Linked DNA regions of Drosophila melanogaster. The protein of the gene in region 1 interacts with the protein of each later gene in a pairwise test. Each region holds a gene or a part of one and is shown on either strand. Other genes may lie near its edges.

Region 1 (11,614 bases):
GTTTCGGTTAACTCAACGAAGTGCACAATATTATCGGTAGAATGTTGTAGAAAGCCTGTATTAAACAAACAAAAACATTTTCAAACTAGAACGATTAACATTTTAAATTTATACAAACCATTCAATGCTAAAAACATCGAAAACTTAAGTACTCCCAGAAAACGTGTCTCGTCCTTTTCTTCGCAATGCAAGGCGAGAAAACTATTGTACGTACCGTATAAGATGGTCAAATTAAGTTGCAGATTTACATCTATAATATTTTAGGAGAGTAAAAATAAATTAAATACAATCATTAGAATTTGTATAAAATAACTCAAACCTAGTCGAGACTCTATCCAAGCTGAAAGATTCTTCTTAATAGCGGCGATGAAGGCTTTATTGTGTCGCACAAATTCTGGTGATGGCATTTTTTCAAGCTATGCGAGATAATTAAAAGAAAAATGAATTATCTGGTTTAAGAAGTTTTTAAATTACTAACATTTTCATATTCGTTTTCAATACTTGTCGAAAAATTAAAATCTCCGCGTCGTGCTAAATCCAATATTCTACTTTGATCACGATACCTAGCAAAATCAGGGCATATCACTAATTCCTCGCCTTTATGGACTTTTTTAGCTGTCACACCAACGACTTTTCCATTTGGTAAAAATCTGAAATTTTCGTAAACATCTTAGTGTGAACAAAAAATTAAAAGATCAAAACTTACATGGCTTTAATATTTTTCGTCCCACAATTCTGCTTAAAAGCTTTTAATGTAACACAAAGCGTAGATTTTAGTTGGACGGTATTTTCTATTTTGTGAAAATATTGATAAACAAATTGCTGAAAATATTTAGCAATATTCGTCAACAGCTGGCAACGTTGTGATGTGTTAAAAATTTGAAGAATTTCGTTTATTTCTTGTTCGGGCAAAGTATCTGCACTTACGAGATCTTCAACAGCTTCAATTTCATATTTTTGCATGCAAATAGAATGTAGCCTATCAGCAAAACGAAATATCGGACTATCATTTGAGAACTTCTCTGGATACTCAGGTTCGATCTCTGCTAGACTATCGTGAACGTTGTTATAACAGTCTACGAAATCTGTAATCGCATTAACTCCATAGTAACTGAATACATTTGCGCTTATACGATCAGTTGGCATCGGAAGAATACCACAATTTTCGAATTCATCATTATTTTCATTCATGGCATCAATACCTTCACGTTGTCTGTAGCATAAGTTATCTCGCTGGGAATTTAATAGAACGTGGCCACCCAAACGTAAAAGTATAGCTGCCATTACAGTAATTAAGTCTGTTTTCACAAGAGCCAGCAAATAAAAATATTTCTCTGCGAGGCGCGTGTCATTGTAAATAAAAACCGACAAACGAAATGCCGTGGTTACGATTTCTGTATACTTTTCCCTTGTCAGCAGGTTATAATCTGGCGCCGTAGCAAGGAGTTCTCCAACAAGATTATAAGTTTTCTCCTCTTCCTGGGCATGCTCCAGTATAAAGGTCCAAGCATCTCGGGGATTGCTTAATATTCTGAAATGGGGAAAAGAAAGTCAATTTTGATATATAAGCATGTGTTTAAAATCTACTCGTTAGTTACCCGCCATCCATCGCATAATCTACTATAGCCGGAAGAATATATTCCCCTGCTTCGCAAAACAACCGAAACAGCATGTTAGCCTCAAGCATTGGGATGAGTCCAATTTTATATCCATAGCACTCGTACTGGTGGACTTCTGCATCTGATTTCATACACGATTTTGAGCAATAGGATCTATAACGACAGTTATCACAGGTGTATAGCTGTTGCTGATGCACTCCACACAACTCGCAGTTCAGAAATGGAGCACTAAACTGAAAGTACACAGGATTCTCCACAAGAACAATTTCTCCTTTAGGCACATCGCATGAAGCGAAAACTCCGCCAGATTTCTCAATGGATTTTTCGCTATAAGGGAACATATGAATTTACTAAATGTATTGTACATCAAACATTCTTTACGTACGAATAATCACAAGCTTGGCTGGCAAACGGAATTTTCCGAGTAAGCTTAAAACCCTTAAAAGGCACAAAGTTCTCGGTTTGAACTTTCTTGCAAAACTCAACATTTATTCTAGCTTGGTTGATTCTCTCTTCATGTTGCTCTATAAGAGCTAGAAAAGGACTAACTTCTAGAAAATATAATAAAATAATTAAAATTAAAAAGAAAATTCAAAACAACGCTAGTAATACTCACCACTTCGATCGGCTAGTGTCCCATCTTCTAAAATGAAAGAAAAACAGCGATTTATAGAAGATCATTACAACATATTATGCAAATTACCAATGAGGCCTTTTACAACTGAAAGTTTATCTTTCGATGCTTCATACTCCCGATTCACAAAAAGGCATATACAGTGAAGTATCTGCGAGATTATCGTTCCCTCCGCTGTCTTGAGAGCTGGATCCAAAGACTCGTAATATAGTAAATCATTGCATGCGGTCTAGAGCAAAAAAAAAGGGTTGTGAACATATGATGTAGATGTGTATTCAGCTGTGAAGATGACATACCGTATTCTGGTTATTTTTTATGTAGAGCACACTTCTGGCCATAATCGCATCCACGCATGTAGGGGAGGCGCTGGGTGCGCGGCATATAATTTCGTCCAGACTCTGCAAAGTCTGTGTTCTGGATTACAATAGGGTTATATATCATATCAATAATGTGGATATACCATCTTCAACACTGTAGGACTTTTCATATTCATACACTTCTTGGAAATGTTAAGGCAACCTTCAGCAACTTCAGAAAAATCGAGAAAAACTTTGTCGGTTGTTTTGCGCAGAATCTTCAAGAACAGCTCGCATTCTCTGAAATTGTAAATTATTATTATTCTATAATTATCTATCTATGAGCATTGCAGGATCCTATCGCAGGACAACTAGGATTTCGCAATATTGCAAAACCTGCGGGATCTCAGGACAAGTGGGCCTGTTACTCACATCAGGTTACGTGGACACATGGCCTCGGACATCGTGATATATTCAGAGGCCTCGGGGCGAGGCTCCGACCCCATATACAATGGTATTCGGTGCATAATTACCACTTAATTTTGAAAAAACCTCATCAAAGCGTGTTTTGAAGATCTCGCGGTAAGAATGTGACCGCATTGCGCCGCCACAAAAATCGACAACTATTTGATATAATATTTTAGTGTTACCAGAAGTAAGCAATCCAATTTAGTTATCGGCTTATAAAATATTATATAATAGATAAAATATAATAATAATAAATAATAAGTAGAATATTCCGGTGTCTTTGGTCCAAATCAACTGAATATCTTTATTCTGTACATTTCGAGATAACCAAAATATGTTACTTTTATTATGCACTCATTTTTTACACCTTTATTACCAGCAATTTATCCTATCGATGGAAAAATTCAAATTAAAATTTTTAAATAAATTTTTATATAATGAATCCATTTTATTTTCTTATTTTGAAACAATTGAACATAGAGCCCAACCGAACCTTGGGCTCCCAGCATTATTGCTTTGTGCTTATGTTTTCTTCGTAAAGCCTCCGTTCGCCGCGGAGCCACTATGCTGAAAAGGAACCAGTTGGAACTGACGAACCACTCGCTCGCATCCCTTCTTTGTCGATATATCGATAGGCTGGCCAATCGTCTAACTTACAAAACATAAATAACAACTACAATCTCTTACTCTTTGGCTAGTTTCTGCACATGACACCATATTTTAACCATTCTTTTTACTGTTCACGTATCTCAAAAAGAACAGTTATATTGTAGAGCATCCCTGATATTTCATATATTTATTTACAATGGGGAAAACATCAAAGGACAAACGAGATATCTATTACCGACAAGCCAAAGACGAAGGCTGGAGGGCCAGGAGTGCCTTCAAGTTGCTCCACGTGGACGAAGCCTACGGAATTCTAAATGGTTAGATCATTGAAACTACTTAGGAACAAAATATAACACACTTTTCCATATATAGGTGTTCAGCGGGCAGTCGATCTGTGTGCTGCTCCTGGCAGCTGGTCCCAGGTGCTCTCTCGGAAACTCTACGATACCTGCGAAACGGACGATGAAAAGTCCGCTGTTAAGATCATAGCCGTTGATCTGCAGGCCATGGCCCCGATCCGTGGAATACTCCAGCTCCAGGGAGATATCACAAAGCAGTCGACCGCCGAAGCAATCATCGGTCACTTTGGTGGAAATGAAAAAGCCCAGCTGGTGGTCTGCGATGGAGCCCCCGATGTCACCGGGGTCCATGAAATGGACGAGTACATGCAGCACCAGTTACTTGTGGCTGCTCTCAGCATTGCCACCTGTGTGCTGGAAACTGGCGGAACTTTTGTGGCCAAGATTTTTAAGGGAAATGCCACATCGCTATTGAGCTCCCAGATGCAGATATTTTTCAAAAAATTCGACATCTACAAGCCACCGAGTTCGCGTCCTTCGAGCATTGAAGCTTTTGTGGTTTGCTCCGATTTTTGCCTTCCCGAGGGCTACATTCCTCAAGTGATTAACCCTGCTCGCGATGATATACGGCTACTGGCACAGAAAACAGGGTCGGAAGTAAACCGTCGTCTAGTTCCTTTTATAGCCTGTGGAGACTTAAATGGGTTGAGTGATCCCGAAGAGGGCAAGACTTCCTCCTCAGATGAATCCAAATCAGTAAGTGATGTGCCTAATACTTTGCTTTGTTTTTTTATTCAACCATCTTTCCCACAGAATTTAGAGTATGTTTACGATGCTGTTATGGACGACGCATCTTATCCCCTGGAATTTAAAGAGATTCTAAAGCAAGTCTATGATGAACAACGCCATATTATCTAAATATTTATAAAATAAAACCAAAAAAATTAAATTAAATTTGTATATTAAGTGGGCTTGGGCCAAGCTAAAAGAAATGTGATAAAATTAATCAAAATATTGAATAACTTAGATTATTTAAAGATTAGGTTATTAAGACTACCAAGATATTACTTAATTTTGTGCATATCCCGTTATTTGAGCGACAGCTTTTTTTGCTCGATTTCCAATAGTTTCTTTTTCAGTTCTATTTTCTCAGCCATTAACTGTTCAATTGCCAAGTGATGTCGCTTGTCCTCGTACAGCTTCTGCTTGTACAGGACAAAAAATTCATTGAGTGCAAGTTGAACGCTGTTGGCGGTATCGTGCACCATTTCTAGGTTATTGCTAATCTTGTCAAGCAGTGTGGTCTCCTCCTCCGCCAGTCGACTGCTGGCCAATGCGGCCCGTTTGTTAGATTGCAGGTAAAGCGGGTCAATGTCCGTTTTGTTCTCCTCCGGTTCGTAAACGTACTCGGCGGAAGTCTGAAGGGCGCCACCATCTTCTTCCGGGACCACATCCTCTACTTCGTCCACATCAAATTCCGTGGTGGAATTCTCATGCATTTCATCGTCGGAGACCTTCATAATAATCTGACTTACATCCTCGTTTAATCTACACAGTGTGGCTATTGTTTCCTCCGACGAAGTAAGACTGGTGCCAAAAGGCATGTTCTGCATCTCATTCTTTTCCACCTTTCTCAGGATAAACCTCTTCCAGTCCTTTAAGGCCTACAAACAAATCAACTTATAATGCAAGCGGTTAGAAAAAAAGTAAGTTAGAATACCCTTCTCCAGGTGGCTATATCTTTTCGCGGCGGACCGTGGCTATTAAGTTCGGATGACAGTTCCTCCCACAGCGACTCCAGATTGCCCCGTGTTTCCCACGTCGGATTCTGAAGCAGACGCGGATGTTTCTTCACGAATTCTAACAATATCAGCTCTTGCGTTGAGTTGCGCGGCTTGGCTTTGTTCCGGTCGATGGCGATGGTGGTCTGCGGCTGGAATTTGTACTTGGAGTTCCGGTTGAGTCCCGATGTGGGGTGCATCCTGTTCATGTGCTTGCTTAGATTCGTGGTGGTCGTCTTGTAAGAGAGCTTCGCCTTGCAGATATTACACACCGCAAACGTGTCGTCCACCGCCCGGAAAAAGCACCAGATCTCGCTCGTTTTCCGCTTCATTTCGACTAAGTTGTTTTGGAAAAGGAAACAGGCTCGTAGTTCCGTCCAAAGCAATAGTTCAAGAACTAGTAATTTAGGGATGAGCTTGCGGGCGCTGATTTCAAGTTTCGAACTAGTTCAAAATATCGAATACATTGAAGGAGTGCAAATGCACCTTAATTAGGGCAGATTTTTCATTGATCAGTAAAATCTAATGTTGTTGACTTATTAACCAGTCGTGGTAAGTCCCAAACTGAATAAATAAATATGCAACATACGAAATTTGGCAGTGGTTAAATCATCATTTTTTTCTAACATCACTGTAGCAAAATGCAAACTTATAAATTTAGACAAATCTTCAGTCGTTCACCTATTGAAAAAAAACGTATGAAAAAAATATATATTTTAAATTTGCATGTTAATTCCAACATTTGTAATATGATAATATTTATATGCGAGCGAAATTGATGTATTGTGGCGATAGTCAGAAAACCATCGACGTCAGACTATCGATAGTACCATCGATATTTTGACAGCTATACTGCTGAGGTGACAACTTGTCACTGACAAGTCATGATAATTTTTTGTAAAGCAATAGATTTATCGCCATGGATGACTCGTTTTTCGGCTTTGACACGAATCTACCGGTAAGCAGCGGTCCCGACATTGCGGCTGCAATATCCGGGATAGCGGGCCGCACAGGGGTCGGCAAATGCCCAACGCACACTTTTCACTCGGCAAATAAGGGGGCATCGAAGGCCACCGGGGGCAGAAAAAGTAGGAATGTCTAATTTACTTGCTTCAATTGTTTCTCCAGGACGAAGATGGTGGCGATGGACGCATCGTCGAGGCGGAATACGATGCCCTCAATGACGAAACCTTTGGATCCGCTATAAATGGCGACTGGGAGGAAGCCCATGAGACGATGGTACGCCTGGGCGGGAATGGCGAAAGGGTGCGGAAGCGACCCGCGGAATCTAGTGGAAATACGGATTTTGCCGATCAGGGAAATGGTGCCTTCCTGCGACACGCTAATCCGCTATCATCGGCGCCCTCTTCAAGCGGCTCCACTCCGGCCCCTTTGAATGCCCCCTTCCGACAGTCTCGTCACATAGGGGACTCGGACTTGGAGCTAAACATTTCCTCCATGAAGTTGGACGACATGGACCTGTCCTCTTTCACCACTGATAGCGAAGCCGGTGGGCTGAGCAACCGCATTAAGCTGGACTCCGGGGTCTGGGGATCACAGCCGTTTCCCAACAACCAACATTTGTTCCGCGAGCCTATGCGCAGCGCCTTCAAGCCACAGCAGCAGCAACATCAGCAGCACCAACCACAACAAATGAAGCCACCGCAGGAAGCGAATGCCAACTTTGCACTGAATCCACAGCCTTTTCCAAAAATTACAACTCTCGAGGATATAGAGCGCAATATGATCATTCAGCAGGCCATTCCGAAACAACAGCAGCAGAGCCAGCAACAGGCGGAACGCAAAATGTTTGATGATTTTAGTCTGGGTAACAGGCAGCAGGTGCCTACACCAACCATGTTGCAGCAACAGATGTTGCAGCAGCAGCATCATCAGAAACAACAGTCGCAGCAGCAGCCGCCACAACAAGCGCAGCACAAGGGTAATTATATATTAAAACTAAAAAGTATTGATGCATACAAAAACAGGCCTCAGTATTTAAAAAGAAAACATGTCCAACAAAAAGTATAATTCCTAAAAATATTTATTTCTTACGAATCTATTTTTGGGGACAATTTTTAAGACAGATTTAACCATTTAAGGAACAAACTTCAAGTCCCTGATAGATTTCTGCGACATATGAAAATAACACCATTTAACAATTCATTGCAGTACCCCCTGGCTTCTTGGGCACGCCGCACACCTCTCCACCGAGGCCAAATTTGGGTTTCCCCGGACCCGAGCTACTGCCCACGCCATCGTCGCAGCAACAACTAAACGGTATTGGTGGCAACCGAGTGCCGCCCGGATTTATTTACCCGCAAGGTCTGCCCGGGAATATTCCGCAATTGCCCCAGCATCCTCTAATGCAGCAGCACATGCCGCACAACTTTCCACTGCCCGGCGGCAACCAGCGACCTCTACCCAATCCACAAGCTCTGCCCACGGCCCTGAACAATTTCGCGATGCATCCAAGCTTCAATGCGATGCGCGCCGCTGGAATCCATCCAGGGGCTTTTATGCAACCTCCCCATCCGCACCAGATGCTGCCACCGCGAATGCCGCCGCACCCGCTGCAAGCTGCCACAAGTCTATTAGGTCAGCAGCCACCGAATTCCATGTATAACATGTTCAACATGCGACTAGTGCAAGAGATCCAGCAAAACCATCCGCTGCTTCAACAGGCTGCTGTTGTACGCCAAATGCAACAGAGCAGAGCAGGATCCGTGGCCAGCGATCGTCAGAGATCGCAGGCGCAACAGCAGCAACAAGGACGACGTCCAGATGGTACAGGAAATTACCCGCTGGAAGAGTACGATGAATATGCCAACCTAATGAGCACGCGCGACAAGCACTGGCTAATCGGAATCCAGCTTTCGCAGCTGAATACGGACACGCCGTATATCGACGACTATTACTACACGGTGTTCAGGGAGCGCAAGGCCCAACAGAACGGGCAAATGCGCAACAGTCAGGCGCACAAGGACAACCAGTTGAATCATCCGCTTACTCAGCCACGCGGCCATGCGCAGCTTATTCTCGTACAGTTGGGCAACAAGAATGGTACTCGCAATGGACACGGACGTGAGCGACGCAACTCGGAGAACACCAACAGCACGTCAGGCAACACGAACAATGGATCAGGTGGTAACAACAACAACCTGACAGGCTATATATTCTCACCACTGAAGTTCGAGAACTCACTGGGAAAGCTACAGTACGGAAGTGTGACAGCTCCGCGAAAAATTATCGATGCTGACATTATGAGTGGTGAATCAAATGCCGCTGCTGAAGCCAACGCAACTTCTTCATCAAAAAGCTCGACTCCGCTGCCCACCTCCGCGAGCCATGATGTAAATCCCAGTAGCATGCGGAAGTCGCGACACATTTTGCTTCTGATTGAAACACTGTATCGCTATCTGCTGAAGTTGGAGGATTTGGAAAGCCCAGAAGTGATGGCCACCATTGAGCTGAAAAAGAAAAAGGAAGCCGAACGGATCGCAGCCCTTGAGCAGCTGGAAATGGCCAATAAAACGCCCGAAGAACGTGCTGCTGAAGCCGCCAATCCGCAAACCATGAATCCGCAACTAAAGAACAAGTTCAACTATGAGGTAGAGACGAAAGCTGCGTTGGTCAATAAATTAAAGGCAGGTCTGGCCTTCGACAAGGTTATCGCCATGATGAATGTGCGCAAGGGAAAGGTGTGTACTTTTTCTTATACTAATTTTAACAAGTGCAACCAAATAGAATTCGATTTATGTTCTAGTGCTATACGCATGAAACTCACTATTTTATTTAAATCAATCTTTCCTTTGCAGATACTTATTAGACGCATAATGCCCTTTATTGCGGATCAAAGCATTCGCTGGGTCGTGTGGAGCGGCGTCTTCTGTTCCCTACAAACAGTGGTGAAAAAGGACAAGGACGACGTTGAAGGCGTCTTGTACGCTCTTTACCCAGAGTTTAAAAAACACGTTAACAAAGCTACTTTCGAACTCCTAGTGAGCATTTCATCTGCTATTACGCTGAATGACAAGAAACTTGCTGGAATTTTTTGCAGTCGCGTAAGTTATCCTCAGTATTAAGTAATAGATACGCGTACTAATTATTAAATTGGCAGTTTGGAATCCTTTCGCTGGTTGCCCTGATACTTCGCGCCGAGGAAATCTACGTCTCGCGAACTGACGCAACTCTTAGCGAGGAGAACAGGCAAAAGTGGCGAGAATTTCTGGCACAGGTTGCATCCTGCCTCAATCGCACTATTCAAAACCAGACCATCTCGGCAGCCATTGAGTCGGATGCAATTCAGCCACTTATGGACCACTTTGAACGGTTTAAAGATCTTAAACTGGATGCACTCTTAGCATTAATAACTGAAGCCAGGCATCAAATTGATTAGGTTGCTTTGACGGATTTTCATTTAACTTGATTGAAGCGTTTCAAATAATTGTGAAATTATATAGCCGAGTTCACTTTGCTTTACTCAATTACGCATATGTTTGTATAGAATATGTATCCAAAACTTACATATGTACGATCGTTTTTACATTTACGCATACTACACAAAAATATTGATACAGGGTATAAAAATCTCATACTGAAATTGAGAAAGTACTCGACTGTCAATAAATTTTGATAATAGTTTGTTAGAAACGTTCTTTTATCCAAAATTGTGTGCACTGTACAAGAAAGGTAGAGAGAGGAAATCATGTTTTATAAATATAATATCGAATGGTAGGTTTTGCTCATTGTACATACTTATATCATTTTATATTCGATAAGGAGTACTTTTCCGGCATTTTCTGTAGAGATTTATAAAGAATAATTCACCCCACAAATTATTCTTTTTTTTTTTTTGTCATCGAATTAACAACTGGGCTCTCCTATATCTTGTAATCACGATTGTAAAAGGAATATCATAAATACGTTTTAAAATTTAAAAGCACCGATTTAATGCGCGATCCATGCATACTCATTTAAATGTGCATCCTTAAGTATCTGCTTATTTTCTGGTATTTGTAAATATCGGTTTAATGAAATTTTACTATACTACCTTTTGGGTTTCATTGAATCAAATTTGTGCAAGACCCATTAAATATAGTCGAGACATTCAGCATAAATGTGTACTAAATAATTAGCATTGTGACAGGTGCAGCCGTATTTATTATAACAAAATGATCAAAATTGTGATACATTTTGACTTTTAAACATAAACGAAGTTCCGATGATCGGAAAGAATTAGTTTAACACACAAATACAAATTTGAAATTAGAAAACAGCAATTTTCACAAAACTTCTGTAACGCAACGGATAGATATTTGTTGTAAAAATCCGTTGTGGAGCATTTTAATTTTATTTCGTTTTTAATTGTATCTACACCATCATTCAATGTTGTTTAATTCATTTTTTTTATTGAAATTCATGTTTTGTATCTGAAAAAAATTCTACTCGACTGCAAACGTCTTGCAAATACTTTAAAACTATGCTTTTTTTTAGCAAACAAGAGTCAAAATACGATAGCTGTCTAAGATTGCAAACACATATACAATAATTGTAGTTTAATTTGTATTTATCACATACAAACACTTCAAACCTTTTCCTATAAATATGTTCGCTGATTCAAAAGTAAATTTTTTTAAATTGATATAATTTCCGAGAGTATAATAAATAAAAAATACCATTTCACAGAACACACCGAAACTAAAACACCTTATTTTTTTGGGGGGGTTTTGAAAAAGATGATATTTAGTTTAGTAAGCAGTCTGATAAAAACACATTAGTTGTCCATTTCAATGATATTTTATTTATGGATTTTTTTAGCTTTCCTTCAAATTTATTGATTTGCTTCCAATTGGTGTTTACGCTTGTGCTATTAAACGGTTTTTCTTCTATAATAATATATTAATCA
Region 2 (11,913 bases), on another chromosome or scaffold:
GACTATACATCAAAATGTCCAACAGTTGGAGAGCTCCAGCTGATTGGACCCCAGGGAGCACTTAATTTGGCCTGATTTCGGTTTTTTTGGGCTTCAATTTTGGCATGGAAAAATCGGGCTTGATTTGGAATGGCTGTGTTTTAATAGAGTGGGCCATTGAGGTTTAGAAGTCCATTAAATGGATTGTGGCACTGGTTTCGAAAATAATAAATACCACTGATTTCATGGACATTTTAAATGTGGTAGTTAAAATATAAATAAAGGCTTAAAACAACATGATTGCACTTAGCTGCATAGAATGTTTTGTTGTATATTTCGTGTTTCATGAAACTTTTAAGACTTTGACCACTTAATATTTATTGGGCTTCAAGTTTTTTGGTTGAGCCGAAAACTTTTCCGATTAATTCGGAAGTCTGATTGCAGTGACCTTGACTGAAAAGGGCTGCGAAATAATGTCGCAGACATTCCAGGACAGTTCACCCACAGAAAGCGCTTAGCCATTCGCCAATAATTCGAAAAGTTTTTTGGCCAGGCCAACTGGAAAGTGTGTTGGCCAAGTTCCTCGAGCCGTTGGCCATTAAAAAGTTGTGTACTCTCATTTCAATTGGCTGAATGCAGCAAAGTTGTTAAGAAAATTATAAACTATGTGCAAATTTGAGCTTCGCAGTGCGGGCAAAAGTGACTCGAATTGTTGCAAGTGTTGCACGCAAAAGTCCGAAGTAGGAATCCGGTCAGAAAGTTGCTCGTTTCAATTGTCATTATTTATTTCTGCACTTGCCAATAAACGCAAATTGCCAGCCAATTATATGGTTAGTTTTCAAGTAGGAATGTTTCCTGGCTAAAACTGGTTTGATTTGTGCCGTAAAAATAACCCCAATAATTTGGTTCGCATTTCTTGCATTTTGTTGTCGCCAGGTCGTAATTAATGCAAATTAGATATGGACCTGCGACGAAATGAGTTTTTCATCAAGTCTAACAACTTAATTAGCTCATAAAAATGACGCCCTCAAGCTGTTAACCCGCCTCCACGCCCCAAAAGCCTCCAAATATTACCGTGTTCCTGCGTGCGGCGGCCACTTAAGCGCGCCACAGATTGCCAATGCCCTCTATCTGCTCCCCAGACTCGTTTCCGTTTCCGGAAATGCCGTTCCAGCGCCCAGGTCGTAGGTCACGGCGTAGGCGCAAAGCTAATTAGTATTAAGTGCTCTTGCGGCACTCGAGGCCTTTACCTCGCCTTCGCCATCGTTTCCTCTCTCCGCCAACGTGCCCCATGTTGTGGTTGGTGCTCCACGGGCTCCATCGTTCCGCATTTTTGTTGTCGCCTCGGGTGTGGCAAAAAAATATTTTTGTGTGTGCGGTCAGTTGTTAAATTCCGGCAAAACGTTCGCAGCCAACATTTTGAAGCATTATGATTGTGGCTTAGATGCTCTTTTGTGTATAAAATCATTGTAAAATTATTTATAAATATTTTCATAGGATATTTTAATGGCCTAATTATTATATTTTTATATTATTAACAGTTCAAAAATTTACATACATTTTTTAAATGATTTAAAAGTATATTTCCAAACGAATATGTGAATAATTATATTAAAAATGTCAAGACCGAGAAGGCATTAATGCTATTAAGGTAGCAAGCAAGCCTTAAAGGACTTCTTTAGTAATAAGCAATGTCCTTTATTCTAGCTCTTTAATTTACATTTAATTGTAAATATAATGTTTATAAGTTGGGCTCTATGAAGTTCTTCACAAGTGAAAAGGCCATTGCCATTGGCAGGCTTGTATAAGCGATTTAGTAACGCTTGAGCGAGCAATGAAGTCAGAGCCAAGTCCACGATGTTTTCGGCTTTTTTGCCTAATTTGTGCCCTAATTCCTTGGGCCTGGAATAATGATGATGGCAATGAGATTTAGGTAAGAGTGCGAAAGAAACGAAAGTCCAGTGGGGGAGATATAGATTATATTTAGATATTTATCTACATTTCTGCATTACTATAACTATTACAATAAATTTCAACACATGCCGTACAAAACTCTGTTTAGTTAAATTAAAAAGAAACTTATTTATTCACTTTTCCCTTTGCTTTCACCCAACCATTTTCAAACTACGTTATTAATTTGCCCAGCCAAGTTTCTACCCCATCTCATCCGGAATTCCGGTGCACGTAGTCGCTTTACTTTAGTTCCACTCATTTCCGCTCCTCACATGACTTTATGCAATAACATCCAAATAAAATTATCTTATCAGCCACTGAAGCATCCTGCGTGTCCTGCGCGTGCTGAGTGTGGGCTAATTTTATTGCATAAAACTTGTGCTTATTGCGCTTCCTCCTCCCCCGGAAAATCCGCCACCTCCTTCGTCCAGCAGGAAAAATTGCACGTTCCGGTCATACGATGCGAACGTGACCGCTTGACCATAGAAGGACCAGGAGATTTGAAGCAACGCACTTGGGTTGTCCTGCCGGCGACGATGTCCTGTGACATGTCCCATTTCCATGTAATGGACATGGCTTTGGGGCACCACGAGCTGAATTACGGTAATTCATGGTAATTTTTTGTATCTTTCGGCGGTCGAAACACGGATGGCAATTTGCTTGTTGCTCCAGAAATGGATCCTAATGTCCAGGGCAAGAAGTCAGGGAGTCAGGGTTAACATGACTGCTAGTGTAGAGGTGAAAATTTATCAAAATTCTTCAGTGGATAACGTATATTTAAGCCGCTTTGCAGCTTCACCTCTTCTCAACGCCCCATCTTTAGTGATTAGTATAATTGATTTACCTACTTACAATTCATATAACCTAACTCATCCAATAAATTATACTTCAAGAATAAGGTAAATATGTTTAGAACATAATTACACTGCCAATCAACAATTTTGGAACTTAAGGCGAAGCGGGAAACATGTGAGCAGAATGCTACTTCGAGTCCGTCATTAATGATTATCTATCTGCAGAGTAGAGGGAATGTGGCATCAGGATGCTAAGGACTTGGGGACAATGAGGCACGTACTGATGTTGCAATGAAATGACAACGGCGCAAGAACAGCAAATATAAATGCAAATAAACATTGTGTGGCAAGCATTTGTGGCTCGTTACATGCTAACACAGAGCCACTCACGTAATGACTGTTTACACGTTGCTAACCTTATTAGTTGGGTTTCGTACATAAATACACTCGGAAAAACCAAACATGATCTTCTTGCACTTAAAAAAAACAGCACTCAAATGTACATATATATTTTATTAACAAAAAAAAAGGCACTTCTATAATATATAAAACATCATAAGCTATTATCCAAATCTTTCATCAGAGTGTGTGCATCCTCTAGGAGCCTTCGAATCATCAATGCTGATTTTCACAAATGCGGTCAGATCAGTTGGAAAAACATTTTTGTGGCGAGCTGTGTATATGCTTACGTACAAACTTATTAAATTTTCCTGCTTGAGTGGTTCGTTTTGTGTTTGCTGGATGATGGGTTTTATCGGAGCCAAGTCAAATGAAAATTGTTGATTATTTTCTAATGCGCTCCATCAGCTCAGAAATGTGAAATATTGCTATTGAACGTCGCAAAGCCAATGGATTGATAAAACGAACACCACACCCCACACGGACTTAATTATTTTGCACAAAATGCGATTTATTAAAGAATATTTCACACCAGCCGGAGTGGGGAATCGCATATCAATTGTGATTTATTCAACTCATCAATTCAAGCATTTCGATTACTGTTTTTCAAGATAAAAACGAAATGAAAGAATGAGTCTTGAATATTATGGCAAACTGAAAAGGCTTGAGCAGGAATTTAAAGTAAACTAAAATGTCAGACTGACAGTTGCATTCGGAGATAAGCATTTGGTAGCACTAGACTGAAATTGCAATCCAACGAAAAGGATTCGATGCAGTAAAGTTGTCACAAACAAAATGCACAAAAAGGCACACAAAAGCAAATGTCATTCTTAGGCAAAACATGAAATTTAATATCCAAGCGAATGACGCTTCCAAGTGAAATTAAAAACCGAATTTCCAGTCACACAATGCCCATTCTATTATACACACGTATGTATATACATTCGAGTTTGCATAGAGCAGTTGATATAGTGTAAATATTTTGACATGGCAATATGTTGTCACAATCATGCCTGTGTGTCGTCTGATGAGTGTTTGTTCGAAATTCGGCCATTGTGGAGCTGAAGATGGAAAGTTTATTTGTTTGCCCATGTCCCAGCATTTGCTGTTAATTTGTTAAAATTTCACTTTATAAATAAAATTCAACTCCTCGCTTCGCTTCGCATCGCTTCTCTGTGCAGGCTAAGTTAAAACGTGGTCGCCGAAGGTTGGCTGGACGTTTGGCATTATTCCGGGTTGTCGTACCATAAGTTTTCCAATTTGCATAACTTCCGCAGCAGTTGGGACTATAAATATGCAAAGGGTTTTACGACCGCACTATATGCAAGTGCCTCAAGAAAACGTTTTCTCAGACCCATTCGCCCCCACCCCACTTGCTCTTGGCCCACTTGGATGGATGACTCCCAGTGTTCTGTTGGTTGTTTGGCTGGTTTCAGTTGCGCTTGAATTGAAATTGAAGTGTCCTAAATGGTAGAAGGCTCAATGAGAGCTGTTTGCATAACAGATGATCGAAAGGCCTAGTATTTCTTAGCTTAAGAAAAGGATTTTTATTTACAAAAATAAACTATATATACTATTTATATAACTATGCATAACTATACACATAGTTGGCTTTTAATCAGATGCCAGCTCGGACACAACTCAGCGCCGACGTAAAAACTAACTTTTTGATCGAAATATTGTAAAAATCGAGTTTCGGATATAGGTATAAGTACATATCGAACTCAGTGGTAAGTGGATGAGAGTGGCTCCATGCCAAAAAAAAATAACATCTCAGATTCTCCAGCGACATAAACTTCGGTATAGAAATCAAACCATTTCGTCATGGGCTTTGATCTAAACTGCATTGTGGGCCACGTTGACGAGGAGCTCATCTGTCCAATTTGCACAGATGTCCTGGAGGAGCCGGTCCAGTCATCGGAATGCGAGCACGCCTTCTGTCGCGCCTGCATCGACAAGTGGATGATCCAGAAACAGATTTGCCCGGTGGACCGCTCCGGGCTACTGACCTCACATCTGGTGCCCGTTTCGCGCCTAATGCGCAACATGCTATCCCGCCTAAAGATCAAGTGCACCTTCTCGCAAAGCGGTTGTGCCCAAATGCTGGCCCTCGAGGAGTTCCGGACCCATGTCGCCGCCTGCGAGCATAATCCCAAGGTGGTTGTCGAGTGCAGCAAGGGGTGCGGAATGAAGGTGAACATTCTGGGAATAACTTGAACTGCTTAAGATAGCTATAATATTCCCGCTAAAGGTACCCAAGGACGAGATGTCGCGCCACAACTGTGTGTTCGAACTGCGCGAGCTGGTGGAGAAACTGGCGAAGGAGGTTTCCGATCTGAAGCAGAAGCAATCCGATATGGAGGAGCAGAGCTCCAGCCAGCGCCGAGAGATGGAGCTGTTCCAGTACTATATCGCAGCACTGCGATCGACCAATCCCATGCTGCGCAACATTGGCGAACAACTGGACCGCTTCTCACTGATGCAGTGGGGCCATGGACTCCCTCTGGCCAACATCCATACGTGGGGCAGTCTGATCTCCACGCCGGACAATCCCATGCACCTGATGGTGCGCGACGTTTTGCGTGAAAGCGGCTGTCCGATGCATATGCTCAATATGCTGGTTGAACGTTGCCACGAGGATCGCTGGCCCGAAGGTCTGATGACGTTGGACGATCGCCGCGAGAACCAACATCTCATGAGTCGGTATGTCACCCGATTGGTGCCCGGTCTGGTCATTGGCAAACCGTGCGTGGTTGTTCTGGGCGGCGAAAACACCCACATGCCGGAGAATCTGCGCCCCATCCTCGGACTGGTCATGATCTTCGTCGACGGTGTGAATGAGGTAATATTTGGCGAAGAGATTATTTAAGCCAATGATGGGTCACCACATCCTGCTTGTATCCTCCACATCTAAATTCATTTTGGTAACACAACACAAAAGCGCAACTGGCTGCCCGTTTTCCACGTCCTTTGTTTTGGAATGATGGTCATGTTGCTTCACTGTCTTAAATTACACGATCGTACTTCAAAAGTCGTCAAAATGAAAAATATAAATATGTTTTATCAATTCGAGTTACGTAAATAGAAAACAAACAAATGGTCGTGTTATTTTTTAATGTCGGACCTTATGAATAATCTGAGGGCTCCCAATACTATCGAAGAGTTTTTATGAAACGTATGTAATTTTGAAATTTTTAAGGTTTTGTTAAACTTCCCTCATCGATTGGTTCAGTGCAGCAACACTCACAGTTTAAAGTTGTCGTTGTAGCTGACAGATATTCTTCTCGGCAATTACGCGGCAATTATAGAAGCTCAGTGAACACTCGGGCGTATGCGTAATGTTGGAGCGAAATTAAATAAACGCATAAGCTGGGATTGAGGTTGCTCCTTCTGTGGGTGGGCGGTTGGTTGGGCTTGCGGTGGGTGCATCAAGTAAAACTTATAATGGAAATGGTAAAAGTTTGGCTGTGCTCGGTTCGCGGCAGTTGGCGACACCATTTGGAAAAGTTTTACAAATTGTACAAAATTTAATTTCCCAGCTGAGATAAATTTTCGGGACCATTACGATTTTAGCCTGCAATTGAAAACGAGATCTCTGATCAAATGAAAATTAATGGACTGCAAGCAGCTTACTTCGATGCGATGAGCTCACATTTGGGCAAATATTGTCCATTGAATGAAGTATACACCGAATTAGTGTCAAATCAAACACGACTCTTTGAACTAATTAAATGGTCCGGTACACACAAAGGCCATGTACGGCTAACTTGATTAAGCCAAGACGACGACGCAGTACAAAGGACAACTAACGAACTAACCACCGAATGCTGCAGCTAATACAATGATAGATGCCGGCACCTGGGAGCCCTTTAACTGGCTGCCTCAGGGCTTGCTGCAAAAACCGAAGCCTAATGCAACAAAAGCCAAAACTTAATTAATATTTACATGGGTCCTCCTTCGCCAGAGGAAGTAAGCTAAAGGCTCAGTGAAAGCTGATGTTGTGGCCTTATCTTGTCATGTTTGCATATGTGCAGTCGTCGCTCTTCCTGGTTCCTCCCCGCTCCTGAAATCCAGTGGCGATGGTGATGGTGCTCCGAGTCTGAAATGGAAGGTGGTTCTCCTGCATGGCTGCTAGAAATCAATTCGCATTGTTAACCCATGATTGGATATTATTGATTCAATTTGCAGCCAACCGACCAAAACATGTTTTATGCATGCCCATGCCCATGCCCTCGTCCCCCGCCAAACTTGCCCCTTTTTGTCTGCTGGTGCATGTATGGCGATAATGTCCTTCGGTATCGATAATGGTCCACATGCACGCTCGCACACTAACACCAACACCCGCGCCGACACACACACACACTCGCATACGCATACGCACTTGTAGTTGGCCAAACTTCAAGCTCAACTCAGTTTAATTTATGCATTTGCTGCACTCGGCTGGTAGCTACAGTGGGCCCAAATTGTTCATTATCAAATTTGGGCATCCCAAGCTAGTAAATAAAATAAATATTTTTAAAAAGCGGTTTTTTATTCATTTCTATGATACTAAAATGTTGTAAATATTTTGTAAAGATTTTGGGTCAATCATCCACAGGTAAAAATACGTTCAGCAATTAGGCATGTTAATTTATTTGTAAAGCATAGCTCGCTTTTCGAATTATATATACATATCTTTTGCTTTGTTTATTTAATTACCATAAATATTTCGACATATTTTGTACGAATCAATACTTTTTAAAGCGAATCTGCTCCTTTAGCTTTGATTCCACTGTAAACGCTTATCAGAAGCATGGAGAGCAATAGATGTCACCATTTCTACACATCTTCAGCACTAACTTTTCCTTTATATAAGAGCTTTTGTAGTTGCAACGTATTATTTTTAGCATATGCTTGAGACCTCATTATCGAAGTAAATATATGGGAAGAACTCTTAAATCTTGAAAAGTCCCTTAATTTGTAGTATGATTACTATTTACGGCATCAGCATTACTTAAGATAAATATTACTATTAACTCTATTGCAAATGTATATGTTTATAACATGTTTCGTTAGAGGACTCTCAATATTTTATATCTGTATTTCAGACCCCTCGAAGAACTGAAATTTGTATAGGCCGAATGTTGTAAATCGCTGCCATATCAGTGGTAGTAAAGCTCGATAGCACAGTACTAATCATCCAAAGGTAAATCACCGAGGGCAGCACAAAGGAAAATGTGGCGAGAAAAATGTGCAACAGCGACGGCCTTCTTTGCCAAGGCTAAAAATGTGAATGGGCCAGCCCAACACAAAAACAGCGGCAAAACGCAAAACACAGTACGGCGGCAGTAAATTGGCGGCGATAAAATTGAAATCCGCTGGAAGCTGTGCTAACCGATTTGGCCCAGTCCTTGGACTTTGGACCACCTAGAGGTGCAAAAGGAAAAGCGAACAAGTCGGCGCGTTGAGTTGTGAAAACCGAACGGAAATAGCGGCCATAACTCGCCAGTTGGAGCCCAGAAAATAGCAATGGAAACGCCATTTGGTGGGATTTTTCTTTCCCAGGACGCTGTTGCCTGCACGAATTGATTTGTCCTTGTGGGAGGCAATATAGGGTAGCTTTGATTAGCGGAGATTGGCAAAGGTTTCAATAGCGCCGCATGATCGATTCACAGGGAGTTGGTCGGGATTAGCAACCATTGTGTGTACGAAAAACTAGTGTAAATGACTTTTCTGAACTTTTCTTAAGTATATGTTTTTATTAAGAACAGCTTTAAATGTTTTTAAATGTCAAGAATATAAATAGAAATATATAACGAGGTTTATTCCTTCTAAAGAAACGGAATACCCAACCAGTCTAGATCCACTTGTATATATCACCTGAACTGTCCAAAAACTGCTAAACGATTTATTAAATTTATGTATCTTTCCATGGACCAACATCAATTTTATTTTCTTTGCGGCGAGAATGTAATAAAAATGTAATGATATTTATTAAGTACTCATTTATTTGATTAACGGCGAAAAAGAATATTTTTATTCGAGTTGAAGAGTTTCTTGGGTGGAAAGGTGTAAGATTTGTTAGTTACATATACAATTGAACATGGGCTTTTTTTTTTCGTACCTGAATATCTTATTTTAATCATTTAGGTACGTCTTTTCATTCCCCATGCCAGTAATAATAATAATAAGTCTAAGAACTTGGCTGTGGATATCGCTTTTAACATGATTTTGTCATTTGGGTATATTTGCCGTTAACTTCAGTTCAGCAGCAATTTTCGCACTCAATGCAATCAGCTTGTTTTTCCTTCGGCTGATTGTTGCTAATGCGCTCTAAGTAGCAGTATGCCACATGCCACGCCCATGCAGTTGCCCGTAGTAATCAATTGCTCCAAGATGGTCCCGAAAAGCCGTTCAGTGCGCCATTGGGAAGGGCTCTGTTTCCTCTAACAACTCCTCTTTTTGTGCTGGCAATTTACTGCAATTGCATCGGAAGCAAAAAAAAAAAAAAGATAAACTTTCGTTTAATGCCCACACTTTTGGGTGTCGTTTCCAGCATGACACCAGCAGAAAGCAGAAAATGCTATCAGATTTCAGCTAAATGCTGATCCCTAAGGAGCAATAGACGACTACCGTGAGAGTGGAGATTGGTAGTATTTTGAGACGAAAGCCATTAACTCAATAGCTGAAGCCGAAACTATAATAGTCTTACCATTTTAACTATATGATTTAATGTGTATAATTGCTAAATAACTAAGCAGTTTCTTAATTAATTATCCATTAATTTTCTTAACTTTATTAAGGAGTAGATAGATATAAACTCATATGCACAAGTATTAAACAATGACCCGTTGGTCAACTTAAAAGGTCCTGGTCAACATCATTGGATTATCCTTTTTGGGCCCGAGCCACTATTATAACCAACAATCCTACTCTTCCTAATGCTCACTTTAGAGTGACGGTCAAGGGGAATTTGTGTCAGTTCCTGATAAAACTTTTCTAGCTTTAACTCAAACCAGTCTAACCACTCAAAAATGTTGAGAGCTCAGGGACAGTAGCTATTAGTTATTTTACTTTCCTGTTTAACTCAGTTGATGTTGTTGTTTATTTTATTCATGGCCAAAACTGCTTGCCGGGAATTTGGCTCTTTACGTATATGGATTCAACATCGGTCAGATGGCTCGTCCTTTCCAATCTGCCCCCGACTTGGTTTTAAGTTTCCGAGTTATGTTTATCTAAATGTTGCCAGCAGCCAACGCTGCGTATGTGGAATATTTTTTATTGTAGCTACCAGTCTGTTGAGGCCAGTTTTCAGTTGTGTGGTAGCTGCTTTTGACATTGACCAAGGGGTTGGAGGCCATTGGAGTGGTCGGGCATTTTAGTGTGTGTTCGCCAGATAAGCCAATTTATTCAGTTGTTCTTTTTAAATATGCGTGTTAATTTGGCTGTGAAAGTTGAGCATGGAATGAGTTCGTAGGTGGTTTGGGATGGAAAGTCAGAAGTAATTGTTCATGGTAGGAATTGGCTCATTCTCTTAGGTCATTCAAATGTTTTCACTCAAACGTTTCATTGGGGTAGTTATTTTTATTAAAATCAATTGTGTTAGAAGTTTTTTTAAATTCAAAATTGATGTTATGTGTGGAAGAATTCGTATTAAATCATTGCAATTATTTGATTTTAAACATAATATTTAATTTAATGAAGATATAACACACTTATTGGTTCAACGCATAATGAGATGTTAATAATCCATATAATCTTAAGCGTAAGAGAAGAGTAAATAGCTTATAGTAGTAGGACTTTCCAGTGAACAACTCTCCGGCACCGAGAGTTCATTCCTTCTCTGAAACGGATGAATTTCGAAAACCCGAAAGGCGGCCGAAAGCCGAAGTCACTGGCGTCACGAATTGGCATCGTCGTTTGGGGCCATTATTGCAGTGGCTTTTCCACCAATGAAGTCGTCCGACCGTTCAGTCGTGAATCGGGCTTTCAACTGAACGGACGGACTGTGCCCACAGCGAGGGTCGCCACGAAACTATCTGACGTGCGAGTTGCGATTCCACGCGAGCGTTCTACGCGAAATGCTACTCGGTGCGTTGTCGTTATCCTTGCCGCTGTCGTTGGTCCTGCCGCTGTCATTTGCCGGATTTTGGCAGACCTCGCCAAAGTTGTGAGCGAGTGAAAGTTTTTTGTGCATTTGTCGTGCGGTGCGACTTCGGTTTACCATTACTCTTGCATTCGCAATTGCGTGCTCAATTCAAAGTAATTATCAAATTGTTTGTTGTTTTGCAAAAAAAAAAAAACAGAACGTGGCTCTAAAGTGCTGGTCCAACCTTTTGACGACATGTGCCACGTTTGTTTGCAATCTGAAAAACTTTTGTGATGGTCCTTTAATGGTGACGATAGATAGGCTCATTGTTTTTCAGTTACACCTATTGGAGATTTGACTTAAGTACAATTAATCGTCCAAGGTTAAAAGTTTTAGTTTTTTACATTAATTAAGTAAAATTATTTATTTTACTACAGTAAAAATACATTTTTAGAGCTTAAAACCATTTTATTGTCGTTATTTGACTCATAATAATTAACCAATTTCATACGAACTGACTAATTTACTTAAGATTCTTTTTTTTCATTTTAAACACTCGATTATGGCGCTACTTTCTTTCATGACGAAAATACTTTGCACTTGCCACGGCAAAGCAATTTAACCATTATATATGGGTTTTACACTCGAAATAAATTGAATGCAACTGTAATACCCTAATTTGTCAGAAATTGTGCAAAAAACCGCAAATATCCCGATACC

Evidence for each region.
Region 2: the proteins of Trm7-32 (region 1) and CG9014 interact in a two-hybrid assay, tested with the Drosophila melanogaster proteins (one large-scale study listed by BioGRID).

Annotation. Positions count from the first base shown.
Region 1 is NT_033777.3:17,037,025-17,048,638, forward strand, and holds Trm7-32 (tRNA methyltransferase 7-32), read left to right. Parts: upstream 1-3,657; 5' UTR 3,658-3,822; coding exon 3,823-3,943; intron 3,944-3,998; coding exon 3,999-4,681; intron 4,682-4,738; coding exon 4,739-4,843; 3' UTR 4,844-4,871; downstream 4,872-11,614. Other genes in the region: CG18213 (uncharacterized protein), read right to left, coding at 1-55, 119-250, 320-416, 479-650, 707-1,531, 1,599-1,946, 2,005-2,170, 2,236-2,262 and 4 more; bdwf (bedwarfed), read right to left, coding at 5,014-5,589, 5,646-6,038; Patr-1 (protein associated with topo II related - 1), read left to right, coding at 6,626-6,664, 6,835-7,648, 7,879-9,407, 9,525-9,770, 9,827-10,105.
Region 2 is NT_033779.5:13,716,474-13,728,386, reverse strand, and holds CG9014 (uncharacterized protein), read left to right. Parts: upstream 1-4,744; 5' UTR 4,745-4,855; intron 4,856-4,902; exon of another isoform or gene 4,903-4,911; 5' UTR 4,912-4,949; coding exon 4,950-5,318; intron 5,319-5,376; coding exon 5,377-5,994; 3' UTR 5,995-6,226; downstream 6,227-11,913.